2 linked regions of the Oreochromis niloticus genome follow. The protein of the gene in region 2 interacts with the protein of the main gene of each other region in a biochemical or structural test. Links are inferred from orthologs where the notes say so. Each region holds a gene or a part of one and is shown on either strand. Other genes may lie near its edges.

The links. The genes of interacting proteins can lie anywhere in the genome.
Region 1: the proteins of hnf4a (region 2) and srebf2 form a complex in vitro, tested with the Homo sapiens proteins (2 studies listed by BioGRID and IntAct). The link is inferred for Oreochromis niloticus from reciprocal best matches to the Homo sapiens genes HNF4A and SREBF2.

What each region holds. Positions count from the first base shown.
Region 1 is NC_031969.2:10,062,900-10,070,704, forward strand, and holds the start of srebf2 (sterol regulatory element-binding protein 2), read left to right. Parts: upstream 1-4,790; 5' UTR 4,791-5,054; coding exon 5,055-5,145; intron 5,146-7,805. Other genes in the region: uncharacterized protein LOC100696172, read left to right, coding at 986-2,422.
Region 2 is NC_031984.2:6,975,314-6,982,388, reverse strand, and holds the start of hnf4a (hepatocyte nuclear factor 4-alpha), read right to left. Parts: upstream 3,013-7,075; 5' UTR 2,887-3,012; coding exon 2,778-2,886; intron 1-2,777. Other genes in the region: peptidase inhibitor R3HDML, read right to left, coding at 5,539-5,662, 6,201-6,316. UniProt on the Homo sapiens protein: Transcriptional regulator which controls the expression of hepatic genes during the transition of endodermal cells to hepatic progenitor cells, facilitating the recruitment of RNA pol II to the promoters of target genes. Activates the transcription of CYP2C38.

The DNA of each region.
Region 1 (7,805 bases), on a different chromosome or scaffold from region 2:
AACGGCTTTTTAGTCTCTCTGCGAAATGTTTCATCATTTGGACTCTGGTAAGATCATACTTTGATGTTTCTGTCAAAAGTTAGCGACTTGCTAACGAAAGCTAAGCTAAAGCCGTTAACGTGCTAAGGCCGAATTATTAGCAGGCAGTATAATTAACGACATTAAAGCGTGAGCTCTTCATTCGACATTTGATGTTTACTTTCAGGGTATGTTGTCACTGGGTGGTGTTAAAGTTAGACACTTAATTTAACCACCTAGTGGATGTTGCTAGCTTCGCGTCCCTCTTGCTTGTAGCTAACCTATTGATGTTTTGTTTATGTGCAAGAAGCTTCCTGATGCTCTCACTTTACAAAGCTCATTACATTGCTGTTATCTTTCCCAAAGACACAAAGTGGAGATAATACAAGCCTTGGCTGCTGTCTGCTTTTTCACTGGCCATTACATTTGTAGTGAACATTTAAAAAAAAATAAAAATAAAGTAGTCTGAACGTTAACGCCAAATTTTTTCTGCTCCTAATGTTCTGTTAGAAGACAGGGAGGGGAACAAGGAACCAGTACACATGGAGTGTGAGAAGGAAGGAGTCGACTCTGAGACCAGGTGGGGCGAAGAGCTCAGACTGGTCCTCATTGGAAAGACCGGATCTGGCAAGAGTGCATCTGGGAACACCATCCTGGGCCGCAGGCAGTTCCTGTCACAGGTCAGCGCCAGCTCTGTCACTCAGATTTGCGAGATGGGAAGCACTGAGCTCGCTGAAGAAGATGGCCGGGCCGTCCCACAGAGGAGAGTGAGGCGAATCATGGTTGTTGACATGCCAGGTTTTGGAGACACTCACCTCAGTGTGGAGCAGATTCACGCAGAGATTGCCAAATGTGTCTCTCTCTCTGCCCCTGGCCCCCACGCTTTCCTCCTTGTGGTGCCAATAGGACGATACACAGACAACGAGAACCAGGCTGTTTGTGAGCTGGCCAAGATATTTGGGGGAGGATGCTGTATTTCACCATACAGTGGTTCTTTTTACCAGGGGGGGATGACCTAGAGGGCATGGTGATAGAAGAATATCTGAAAATGACTGCACCTCCTGGGCTGAGGGCTCTGATAGACAAGTGTGGGGGTAGGTACCATGTTCTCAACAACAAAGACCCCAGTAACACAGCACAAGTTAAAGAGCTCTTGGTGAAGGTAGACAGCATGGTGAGGCAGAGTAACGGAGGGTTTTATACTAACACCATGTTTTTAGAGGCAGAGGCTGCAATCCGGGAGGAGCAGGATAGGATGTTGGGAGAGCGAGGGCAAGCAGAGGGTGAAGACCAAGAAGGAAGTAACTGCAGAACTGAAGAGGAGGCTAAACTTGCAAAAAGAAGAAAATGTGATTTAGAGTCTGACATAGCAGGAAGCAGCGAGAGAGGATTACAAGAGCTCCAGAGGAAAGGGGTAGAAAGAGGAAGTGAAGATGATCTAAGGGTGGAGAAATGGGCAAAGGAGAGCAGAAGCAGTCCCTTCAGCCTGCTGAGAGACCAGATCAGAGGCCGACATCGGGGCCAAGGCAGAGCTGTCAGCCGGCGGCCATCTGTCCGGTCATCACTGATTCGTTTCAGGAGGGAAGCCGCGCTCTCTCCCAAGGTGCTGGAGAGAGTTAAGGTCCTGGTGGCTGCTGGAGCCACTGGCATGGCAGTTGGGGCAGTTTTCGGAGCGGCTGCCCCTTTGGCAGCTGCAGCTGGGGCATCTCTTGCTGGGAACTCGATTGGTTTTGCTGCAGCTCAGTTAGCTGGGATGTCCGTGGCGGGAGGCTCGGGTGTGGGGAATGCCGTGGGCGCCATAGTGGCGGCAGCCTCGGGGAAAACTGCAGTGGCTCTGGGCGCAGCAACAGGTGGAGTTCTGGGTAGTTCTGTGGGAGCCATTGCTAGCGCTGAGGCTTCCAGTCCTGCAGAAGGTGCTTTAGATGCCCTCACCCAGGTTAGCATCATAGGGGCCACTGCAGTCGGGGTGGCGGCCGGTGTGGGATGCACCATGGCAGGTGGGGCTGCTTTAGGAGCAGCTCTGGAGGGAGCAGCTGCCCTCGGTGGAGCTGAAACTGCAGCAGCAGCAGGAGTAGCTCAGGGTAGTTTAGCGTCAGCAGCCGCTGGGACTCCTCAGTGTGCTGCTGCCTTAGCTCAGGAAGTGGCCGCTGGTGCTGCATGTGGGGTAACAGGACCCAGTGTGGCAACAGCAGCCAGCAGGGTTGCATCAGACCCGTGGGGCACCATGTCGGCAACAGCACGCATCCTGAGCGCGGTGGCCGAAATTGGCAAAGCTGCAGCCGGCATCGCCCTCGCTGGTGGTCTGGTGGTGAAGGTGGTGAAGGAAAAAGTGAGAAGCGGCACAGGAACGACGGAGGCTTCCTACTCAGAGAAGAAGTCTTATGAAATCTACTGGAACAAATAAATACAGGCTGAGCGTAGAGTCCAAATCCAGGATGTAAGAGATGTATTTTTCCACCTTCACAATAAACACCACACAACACAGTAACTTACTGCAGTGAGGGATATTTTTACATGGTTGTAAATGATCAAAGATGCACTGCTAGCAACAACATCTGTGTAATAAAGTTGTATGCAGTATTAATATGAAGCCACTTTATGAGGAAAAGGTAGAATCTCTCAATCTAAATGTTGGTTCAAGCCGAAGCTGAATAATCCATGACATTTGCACTTGTGTGGGATGACTGAAAGGCATATTAGATGGGTGTTGATTCTGCTGTTTCTTATTTTTAAACATGTTAGAAGGTTGTGATGCATTTCAGTGCTGGTTGGTATTTAAACACACCTTAGTCCTTGAGCACACATCATACTTAAAAAAAATTTTTTTACAGTGAGTATAATAAACAGAAAAAAGTGTTTGCCATGCCAAATATGTATATGAACAAAGTGGACTAATGACGTATTGAAAAGTTTCCATCCTGAATGATTTGCAGTGATTGGCTGGTTTTATTGCACTGTTTAACATCATGTAATAATTAAACCAGGAGAGTTATACAGTTATGTATTAACACAGGTAAAACATATGCTGCAAATGAGTTAGCAGTTCATTCATGTGTTTTTGCAGTGAAATAAAGAAAATACAAATATTGTTGCAAGAACTAACGTTTTTGGCTTCTTTTTTCCTTGTGGAATTATATTGGTGTTATCTTTTTGAACACCACACATGGCAGTATAATCAACTATGGTTCTCCATTTGAAGAATTCTGAAACACATTAAGTAACAATGATCATGCTTAGAATTAAGATCTGTGCCATTTTAAATGTATAGATTTGATGACTTTGTTAGGTACACTAATACCTGGTTGGAAGCCCTTTTGCCTTCAGAGCTGACTTAATTTTTCCTGGCATGGATTCAACAACAACGTCCCAAAGATGCTCTGTTGGACTGACGTCTTGTGACCGTGGAGGCCATTTGAGTACAGTGAACTCATGTTCAAGAAACCAGTTTGAGATGATGTCAGCTTTATGGGTATGTTATCCTGTGAGAAGCAACCATCAGAAGATGGGTACACTGTAGTTATAACTGGATGGGCATGATCAGCAACAATACTCAGGTAGGCTGTGGTGTGATGGTCAGTTGGTACTAAGGGGACCAAAGTGAACCAAGAAAATACCCCCCATATCATTAAACCACCACCACATAATACAGGGCAGGATAGATCCATACTTTTCATGTTCACGCCAAATTTGAACCATACCATCTGAACGTGCCAGCAGAAAGACCCGTCAGACTATATAAAATTTTTCAAGTTTTCTGTTGAGCAGTTTGGGTGAGCCCATGTAAAGTGTTGCCACAGTTTCAGCTGACAGGATGAGCACCCAGTCTGGTCTTCTGCTGCCCATCTACTTCAAGGTTCAACGTATATTTAGCAATGCTGTTCTGCATACCTTGGCTTATTTTGCCTTCCTTTCTAAAGAACTCTGGCCATTGTCCTCTGACCTCTGACATGAAAAAGTTATTTTTACTCACCGAACTTCCGCTCACTTTTCTGTTTTTCAGAGAATTCTCTCTGGAGATGGTTGTCTGTGGGAAATCCCTGTAGATCAGCAGTTGCTAAAACACACAGCGCAGCCCATCTGCCACCAAGTTTATGCCAATAACCTTAAAGCCACTTAAACTCCCATATTTCTCCATGTTTCTGGTGCTCAGTTTGAACTTCAGCAGGTCGACCTTATCCACATGCCTAATGTAGATCTCTGTATCTCATTGTACAACTGTATAGTGACAATAAAGGCATTCTATTCTATTCTATTCTAAATGTGATTGATTACCTACCTAATAAAGTCGCAGGTGACTATAGATGGGTAGCTCAACTGTAGTTCTTTCATTTTTATTAACACAGTATCATACAATTTTTATGCTTAAAAAGTAAAACTTGGAGTATATGCCATTAACCTTTTTTGTCTATAACACAACTTGTAATCTTTGATGGGTTAAAAGGTAAACAATAAATAAGATAGTATTAATCCGTACGCTGGAAAACATGCTTAAGAAACGAGTGAAACTGTTAAAACGTGTATTTTTGCGAATGACTGCAGAATGACTGTGTGTGTTTATCGCCGTCATCTTTTCCAAGGAGCAGCATTTGTCCACCGAGGTCGGGTTCTTTTCATGAAGGTAGGGGGAGCGGTTTATTCAAATGACACCCAAGCTTCTGATGGTTGACGTACTATCAGACCACGGCGAATACTGGCCTGTCATTGGACGATGATGACTGGTCTCATGACAAGAACGGACAGGTCTCAGCCAATCAGATCCCGCTATGGGCCACGGAGTCTGTTTGTGAATGACGTAATGAGCGTGAAACAAGATGGCGTCGCCTCAAACATAAATTGATGCCAATGAGTTTATCGGTGTAGAAGTGCTCCTCTCTTGGGGCTTCTGTGTTGTTTTGGGGTTGTTCAGGTGAAAGGACATATTCCGCGGTCAGTTAGGTGTGTGGTAGGCGTTGCCGAACGCCCACGGAGGAGCTCGTGGACCTTGTTTGTTTTGTCCCTCCGGTGACAACCGGAGAGGAGAGCTGCTGACAGATAGGATGGACAGCGGGGAGTATATCTCCACCATGGAGAACATGGACCCGACTTTAGCGGAATTAGGGGACGAATTCACCTTGGGAGACATTGACGGTGAGTGACCGTGTCACTGTTTAAAAAAAATTAGGAAGGGTAAGCTGTGTTTCACGAGTGTTGGCCTGTTTCCGTTTAGCCCGACAGCTGTTCTTCCTGCCGAGCGGAAGGAGATGAGCAGCTCTGGCTCTTAATTCTTGCGACAATGTTTAAGTATTCAAGATACCGCTCAGGAAAAAAGAGAGCACTTATATTTAGTAGTCCTCGAATGCTCTGTTATTTTGGCATTATCGTTGTGTATTTTCTTCTGTTTGTTTCTCTAATCCCCCCCACACACACAAAAAAAAGACAAAAAAAAACAAAACAATCACACAAACAATTAACCTAAACTAAAAGATGAAGAAGTGATACTGTTGTTGTCTTGACTCCTCCATAAGAAGTGTCAGTTACTTTCTGACCTTCTTCTTGTTCTTGAAGGAAGCTTTTCCTCCTACTTGAGCATCTTTTTGCTTCTGCAGACCTAATTGAGCATCATCTGTGGGACAACATCTCTGTCAAAAATAAATAAATAAATAAATAAAACAGATTGCGTTTTGCAGTCTGTGGGCCTGTACCCTGTGAACAAACAGCATCCTTGTTCCAACTTCCCTGTTATCAAAACATGTTTCACCCTTTGGCACACAGTGAAAGGATGGGGGCTTTTGGTGTGAGGCTGGCCAACGCAGAGTCACCAGATTTTTATTAGGGTGGAATTTTACTGAATGCTAACCCACCAGACCGGATTGATACACGTGTGTGTGTGTGTGTGTGTGTGTGTGTGTGTGTGTCGCACAGTATGGGATGAATTGGTTGTGTTAGGTTTAAATTAGTCATCAGCATACAACCAACCAAAGTGCTCTGAGATCATGCAAAGCCCAATAAAGATTACTATGTTTTGTTTTTTTTAAAGCAGTATGCTCTACTGCTTGTATGTTTAATTTGTTGTTTGTGATTGTACAAAAACCTTTTTCAATAAAAAGACTTTGATTAAAAAAAGATTACTATGCATGGGTTTGAAAACCTACCTGCCGGTGGCATCTGGTGTTAATTCTCTGTGGTGAACAGCCCATGTCACAGCTATTTAATCTCACTTAATCAATGTGTCAAAAGAAGAATGTGCAGATTGTGTGAAAGTCAAATGACTGTTGAGGTTTGACTGATCCTAACTTGACTTTTGCTTCACTCAGTGCATTTTGCCTGCAGCTATTTGGGGGAAAAATGCAGGTTTCCCATGAGGAAAAGCATTTAACTGCTGCAAATTCAGATTAGTCACGAGCTTTTCTTTTGTGCATTTGACTCCGTATTAATGTCGAATATTCTTGCTTTTCCAATTATTCACTTAACAACTGCTGCTCTGCTTATGTAACTTATTTTCTCTGCTCTCAGCAGCCCACAAAATTGTCCCCCACTACACCCTCACCCTCGCCCTGTACCCCCATTTAATGGATTTACCCTTTGTTTCGGAGTCTCTGTCTGAAGCTCCAGGGGCTCAGAGTTGCTTTGTTCTGTCAGCCACTGTAACCCCCTCCCCTCGAGGTGTTGAAGTGTGCGAGTGCCCTACTGTAAGTGTAAATTCGACTGGATGGTTGGTAGAAACGCTCCTGAGAGGAAGCCCATTTAGTGTTCCTGTGGTGCGGCTTATTTGAAATCACGTCCTGCGCTCCTCTGGGCTCACTTTTCAAAGCAAGCCTCAAAGTGTTTCCCTTTTATTGGTTTTGAAAGTGGTCATCACTGTTTCTTTACCTCTGTGTCAACACAGGTCACATGCAGACTTCAGTCATGGCTATGAGTGCATGAATTACTGGCCTTGACCTCTCTGCTGCTAGTGTTGGACTGTTGATCTCTTTTTTTACAGCTTGAGATTTTGCAGCAGTAGAAATGCAGATATGATATATGATCCAAGATGAGATCTGAACACAGATGAGTTTGTTTTAAAGACTTGTTGGATTTCAATTCATCTCTGGAGTTGGCAACCCGGCACACTGATGAGAACGAACGCCTTTTATTGTTTTTGTACGCTGCACTGAAATGCAGCGAGTGATCAAAGACAAAGCTGACAGGATGCTGGCTTCTTTTCCAAACATATCTGAGAACCTTTTGGTGTTTTAAAAAGTTTGTGAGTTTTCCTTCTTCGCTTTGCAGCTTCAAGCATCTATTCTTGTACCCCAGTGCTTTTTGTGTTGCGTTTGTTTCGAACATTACATCATTAAAGTAGAAATACAAAATGTCCTGCAGCGATATTGTGCTAAAAAAAATGTAGGAACCTTATCTAGAAGTCAAATCACCAAAAAAGGAAGCAGTAACTTTATTGCAGGCATAAAAGATGCAGAACATGTTTCACTGCGCTGGGATTGATAAAGGGTCTTATAGTACTGTATTACACAGTCGCCTTGTATTTTCCTGATGCCAAAAAAATCACTCATTAATGCAGGAAAAATTCACTCACTTTGAGGCTGCAAAGTAGTGACTGTAGTTAACTTTAACATGTGGCTTGCAGGGCTTCTTAGGTGTATTGATATGTGGTGTCCAAGGGTTGTGCGCTTAGTGATTTAACACTTGACAAAAAGTTCTTTGTGTCTTTTGTATTGCCTGATTTCTCCGCCTCACATTAAGATAAAGTTCAAGGTTACAGGCTCAGCTTATTGACGCTGCGCTGACCCTGAGAGCTAAGGGCATAGGCA
Region 2 (7,075 bases):
GTGTGTCAATTTAAAAGTGACCAAAGTTCTAAAATCACAATCATACTTGCTTTTCTTTTTTTAAGTACCATACATACCATATGCACCATATGTATTGAATAGGGTTGTCAGAAAAGTTCAAATTCAGACATTCCCATTTCACATTCAGTTCCCATTTGCAACAGCACTGATACCAGCACTGCCGTCTTCACCTGCTCCAGATGACACACACCTTCACTAAGTACCCAGGTGCACAACCTTTCCCACCTTACTAGAAGCTGAACACATGAACAGTAGCACCACCAACTGGGTGAAGCATCTCAAAGACTGACACCTTGGTCTTTATTACGACTGTTGGGAGGTCAGTAAATCTCCTGTTTTAACAACATTTAAGTATTAAACAGTTATCTGAAGTGTTGACCTTGCCAGCGTCCACATTAACATGAGCCATTGAAGTATTAGCAGTTACCTGCAGGTAGCAACTAGTGGCTATAATAAAATGGTAATGTTAATGTGGTCTTGTCTGTCTGTAACATTAATAAACAGTATAAATTTAACAGGATAACACAGTTAACTGTAGTATTATGTTTCTTTAAGGTTATTAGTGGGCACGATGCAAAAAACAACATGAAAATCTGAATTTTCGGATTCTGAACTTGTCATGTAACACACACACACACCGAATGCACTGCATTGTTGAGGAAAATGTGAGGACAAAGAAGTTGATATTAAGCCACGATGAGCCGGTCCTGTTGTTTCTAAACCCGGAAAAGGAAGAAACAAAGATTCTAGGTTCATCAGAGTCTCAGGAAAAAGCGGCAGCAGGGAGAATTTCATACTTTGAACCAGGAGTTGAAGCTTTATCACAACTGCTTTCATACATATTTCAGGATGTCAGGGGGGCAGTTTGAGCTCTTGATGGCAGAGTTGGGACCACATCTGAGGAGGCGGATGAATCATTTCAGAAAGCTAAAGAAAAATAAATGCTGCAAATTCGTCCAGTGAAATTATGCAGTCAGTGTGAATTTGCACATTAAGAATGGGTGAATCCAAAAAATATTTTTAAAGCACAAAACATTCTCACGAATTTTTCCACATCTGGTGTGTAAAGCCTTCAGGGTGTCAGCGGACCTTCCATATTATGATCACGTAATGTGTCTTCAACTGTGCTCAAGATCAAGGTCAGATTTTACTGAAACAAGATTCATTTGTTGTGGACACGACTGTGAGCCTGCTTAACTTCTCAGTAGATTTAAATTCTCATGACTTTGTGCAATACAACCACTGACAACAAGCACAGCTTTCTTTCTGTGTGTCACGCATGACGATGACCTGTGACTGTAATTCTAACTGACAAAATAACACATCAAACAAAACTGTTTAACTGAACAAAGTCACGATGCTCATTGTTCTATACAGTTTCTCTTTATGCTGCATTTACTGTGTCATAATGTAATGAAATCATCTAGAGATTTATGCCGTAACAAAAAACCCTCACAAAACATGAATTAGAAATAAAATTAAATAAAAATATTTTCCTGTCAGCACCTAAAATAGGAGGCCTTAGCAGCCTGGAAATCTTATCCCTGTCGCTTCACTCTTAACTGAAATGGAAAGGTAAATGGAGCTGGATGTAAACCGGGCAATCCAGAGAAAATTTAGAGAAGCATGGGGTGTTCATTTGAGAGATTAGTGTTAGTATATTCCCAGTTAGCTAGCCCATAGGGGGTTTGCTTGCCAGCTACAAAGTCCTAGAAGCAAGTATGGCAGCGACAACCTTGAAATACTGCTGGACACATATTTGAGAAGTTATTTTCACTATCTGAACTGACTTTCACTTCACTGGTCACTGGGACTGAAATGTATGAAGATATCACCTCCCCCCTTTGTACAATTAACCTTTTCTGTGTAGCTGTTCCTTTAGCTGAAAAAATAGCCTACATATACCGAATTGGCATAGTGGCACGAGAAGAAATGGGGAGCAAGGAGGGAAGGAATAAATGAGCAAAGGCAGACTTGAAACAGTGGGCTGATATTTTCTTTTCTCATTTGGCCAGAGCTTTGTTTAAATGGATTTGCATCCCTGCTGTGATATGCAAATTATTTAATGAATGACCACAGAAGCAAAAACTAAACTCCCACCAACTGCTGCATCAGACAGCTGGTATGAGATGATGCCGAGTAAGGCCTCTCTTGAGATTGTTCAAAACAGTTATGACAAAGGGGCGGTTTGTGTGCCTGTAGCAGCGATGTGTCCTTCTCCTGTTTTGTGTTTGCACAGCATCTTATATTGTAGCCATAAAATAATGCAGAGGCTTATCACAGTGTCATAGTGAGGTTAAAATGTCAGTCTTTTTATGGATAGTGTAACTCTACAGAAAGAATGTTTTCAGAACTCCATAAAAAATATCCAGTCCATGAGCACAGCTTGTCAAACAGAGCAAGCTTAAATCATTTCAAATCAGCCTGTGAGCCCTGTCACACTCACTGTACTCTTACAGCTCTTACATCTCAATATCTCTGAACCATCATCTCCATCAGGCCCAGCTCCCATGGCCTTTTTTTAACGACCTCCATATCTCTGACACACCTCCTGGATTACAGCCGTGTGAAAAAGACAGACATGTATGGTGGTGATATTTCCACCCTGAATCCCTTGTGATCCAGCAGAGCTCTGGAGCCAAGCAGCTGCTACACAAAAACACTGAATAAGAAGCAAAAAGAAGCAAGCAGCTGCTACGCTTAGCCTCTTTTTAAACTAGTCGGCCACACGGATAAAAACAAAAGCGTGTACTCACCAAATGGAAGTTCCATACTTGAACTGACTTGTGAGTTTACATTGACCATGTCGTCCTCTCCTTCCTCCCAAGCATATGTTTTAAATCCACTATTTTCTCCCCTCACCATAAGGTGTAAAATGTGGATGTCTGGCGCAGGGTGCTGTAGTGCGAGAAGGGTGTTGTTGGTGCAAGGTAAGGCCGGTGTTGCTGCTGTTATCTTATTGATTTTCCTAATCTGGGCAAATGTGGGTGGGGAGGTTAAACAGTAACCAGGCTCGTATGGACACCAATCTATATAGCAGCTGTAACTATGGCAACATGATGATAGAAACTCAAATAGACATAAAGTTATTGTGCTCTTTTCCCTCTTTCTCATCACCTGACAGCCTTTTCTCCAGTCGAAGATGAAAATTGTGTAGGAATAAGAGTTTATGTAAAATAGAAAGAAAGAAAGAGGGTGGGGAGGGACATAAAAGACAGAGGAGTGGAGAATGTACTGAGGGTGGCAGCGAACATACTGTATGACGAGTGACATCATCAGTTTTGTTTTGACTAAGGAGAAAACATTACTGCTTAGCCGTTAGATATCTGGGGCCTGAACTCTCTGCGGATGCCAAAACATCCCCCTAATTTAAAATGTTGCCTCCCAGCAGAGATGGAAGCCCAGCTTCATTTCATTGGAGAATGAGTTTAAATCAAATATATCGTTTGATTTTTTTTCTTTGGCCTATAAGCTGTTGAGATGTCTACCTTCTTTGAATGTAATGAAGCTAGATGGCTCTTTGCCCTGTGCAGAAAAATACATTTGAATAACTCAGTTATGACACAGTTATTCTAAAACTACATTCACCAACCAAAAGGTGCTCAGCGTGATAAATGTGGCAATCAGAAGGTCAGTGTGTGGCTCCTTCACTCTACATTTGGGAAGTTCAACATTATTTTTCACCCGATGTTTAAAGGCAAAGAATATGTGTGTCTGTGTGAGGGGATTATAGTGTAAAAGTGTAAAATCACTTTTAATGGTTTGCAAGAGTTGAAAATCATAATACACCTATCAATTTACAATGTTTACATCCTGTTACAGTGTCACAAACCCTCCTCTGGCTTTCTTCTGCTAAGTGAGACGGTTGGCGTGTAAACATGGATGCCATCCCCTCACCGGAGCTGTAAAGTCTGGCAAGCCCACGCTTCAGTTGGTTGACAGGTATAGTTTGGTAGACAGAGAACAATTCCCAAATGAAATGGCTCACAAAATGTTATGTTTTCATCCTTGAGCTAACTGGGACACACACCAAACAATCTAGATGGATAAAAAGAGATAAAATCTGTACATTTGATTTGGAAATGAGCCGTCCTTTTTAGATAATTCTATATCCTGCTGGCACTTTTCAGCTGCATGCAAACAACCATTTTTGCTACCATAGGGAAATTTGTCATATTTTCTTTGGCCAGCTTCAAAAACATACATTAATACTTTCCATTTGCTTAGTTTAAGACTCTGGCTGAAGATTGCAAAATCCACTCTCTGACACCTCTAAAGCTCATTAACTAACACACTAATACTGCTTGTTAAGTTAAAATCGCCTAAAATGTAAAAAACAGTAAGTGTAACAGCATCTAAAGAAGAGCCAGATTAAATATAATGTGTTAATTTAATAGGCTTAGCTTTACTAGGAAAAGGATTTTGTTGTTGCTTTCTTCCGAGTTCAGTTTCTCTTGCTAATCGTCTGCAGGCACGAGGCGGTATGGATATTCTCATGAAAATTTCATCCAGCGAGGATAACAGTGTTTTCCAAACATCTGTTTGTATCAGTGGAAACTGATTGATTGAAATGCTGAAAACAGTGTATGCAATTACCTGTAAAAACCACACCTGCACAAAAATGTAGAGTAAGGAGAAACACCTTCCACAAAGAAAGAAAATTACACCCACTCTCCATTTCTGAATAGAGCTGCTAAATAAACAATCATTACAGTCAACAAAGTGCTGATCTCAGCTGCTCTTTATACTTGTTTGTGAGGGACTTTGTTTGCTTGGGAGAGACTGGTTTCTGTATCAAACGTTTTACGTTTGGGTGTGTGTGTGTGTGTGTGTGTGTGTGTGTGTGTGTGTGTGTGTGTGTGTGTGTGTGTCCACAAATCAGTTGAACTGGGAGGCACAGCTGATTCTCTCGTATTTTAGGCCATAAAAGCTGCATTAGGCTCGGGTTTATGACAGAGAAAGTCTCTGATGGGTAAATGGTGAGCTGTAATGAGGTGAAATGCAGGACAGAAAATTTCCTGCAGCTGCAGTGAATAAACACAAGTGGTGAACAGCGGATTACTTGTACTGAATATACAGCCTCATCAGTTATTTATAACTTAATTAACGTTCGGTCAGGCAAACGGGCAACCATAAATGCATTGTCATTTACTGTGGGAACGAGTTCACAGTTTAGAAAGACAATCAAAGATGTATATCAGGCCTAAAATGAGCAACTTGTAGCATAAAACTGCTTTTTTATTATTATTAAACGGGTTGTAACAGTGCAAAGCTCCTGAAAGTCAAAGGAAATAACAGTTTTAACATTATTTTGTAACTGGAATAGAAATTCAAGTGTTGCAGTAAATAAAGTATTTACAGTACAAATGGTAACAGTGGTAACTGGACACATGCGTCATTTATCCAGATTGTCTTGTTGTACAGCTTTTGTGAGTCATATCTGGAACTGTTGTGCATTTTTTTTTTTTCAGTTTAAAAATTAAAACACTGTGTTGTGTTAATAGCTTCTTTCTTGTGTTAAAGTCTCCTGGGTTTTTTGTTCAGTGTGCACTGGTTTCTCCAGCAGGAGCCTCCGTAGCTGGGTGGACAGACAGAACAAGGCCTTCCAGTCTTATACGGAGCTTCTCCCACCCAGTTTCCTCTGAAATACAAAGAAATATAATGCTAATTAAAAGGTGAGATTCTGAGTGTAATAGTTAAATGAGTATTTGCACCTGTGAGAGCAGGGTTTGAGTCTGTATTGGTTCGTTCTTTTTTACTTAGAACATGGACGAAAACAGCAACCGTCTATTTTCAGTTTTTGTTTTTTGTTTGTTTGTTTGTTTTTATTTTTGCCAACTTCATTAAGACATTTGTATATACAAGTAAAGCTCACTTTTTGTTCTTGAAATCTGCCTCCTGTGTCCTATTTGACCCCAGTTTGAACTAAAAACATTAAACTGATCCCATATGTGTAAAATAAAACAGATCATTTGGATTTAAAGCATTTTCAAGATCTAATAGTAGACTAAAACTGAAACTACAACCAACAATGATTAGTTTATTAGCATTTGCATAGAGGATGATGTTTTCTACTTTAAAAAATAAGCATCCTATGTGTCTCGGAGGAAGTCACGGTTTTGAGCTGCATCTTCAAACTTTTGGTGAAAAAGTGAACAAGCATATTTCCCAAACTTTACTTTATCAAGTAGTTGCAGACCAGCAGCGTTGCTTCCCTCCAGGTGCTGCCGAACACGTCCATGTTGGAGCACTTCCTGACAGCACATCCCACTCTGGTGGTGCTCGCCCACACCATCTGACACAAACCATAAACACGTTTTCTTTTGATATGCACGCAAGTGAAACCACACACATTTACAGAGGTTGAAGCTCATTTTGAAACACAGCTGTAGTCATAGATTGGTGTTTTCACCCACTGTAAAACTGCACCATGTTTAGTCCACATGACAATTTTAAAACCCGGGACGATTCATTGCTAATTTACAATAAGCACTAATAAACTTAAACTTACAAACATACTCTCGAAACGCTTAAACTCATAAAACTGTTAGGCTGCTTTACCCCCAGAAATATGCATTTTAACCCTCCAAAGCAAGAAAGTGGTGTTTAATAAAACAAAAGAGAAAGGGATCCGGCCTTTTCCAGAAAGAATAGACAATAAATAATTGATTATAATCTAAAGGATGAGTTTTTCAGTAACTGAAGCCACATTTTTTATGGAACACATACACTGATGGTGCTATATTCACTGTTTTAAATGTGCACGTACTTTACATGATGACATTATTATGATATACAACAGATCACAAGACATCTGATGGACGCACATTGATTCTGTGTAAAAACAACAACCCTAAACAAAGAATCCAGAGCATCAGCATCACAGAGTCAGACTGAGAATACATGAAGAGACAGAAAACACAGAAGAACTGTGAAAAGTGCCGAGAAAAAAACCACCAGATAAGTGCTTAGAAAAGCTGTGTGCTATTGTATCTATAGGTGAGCTGAAAAAATTCATGTTTTCACTGTTTTCTGCATTTTGAATGAATGAAAT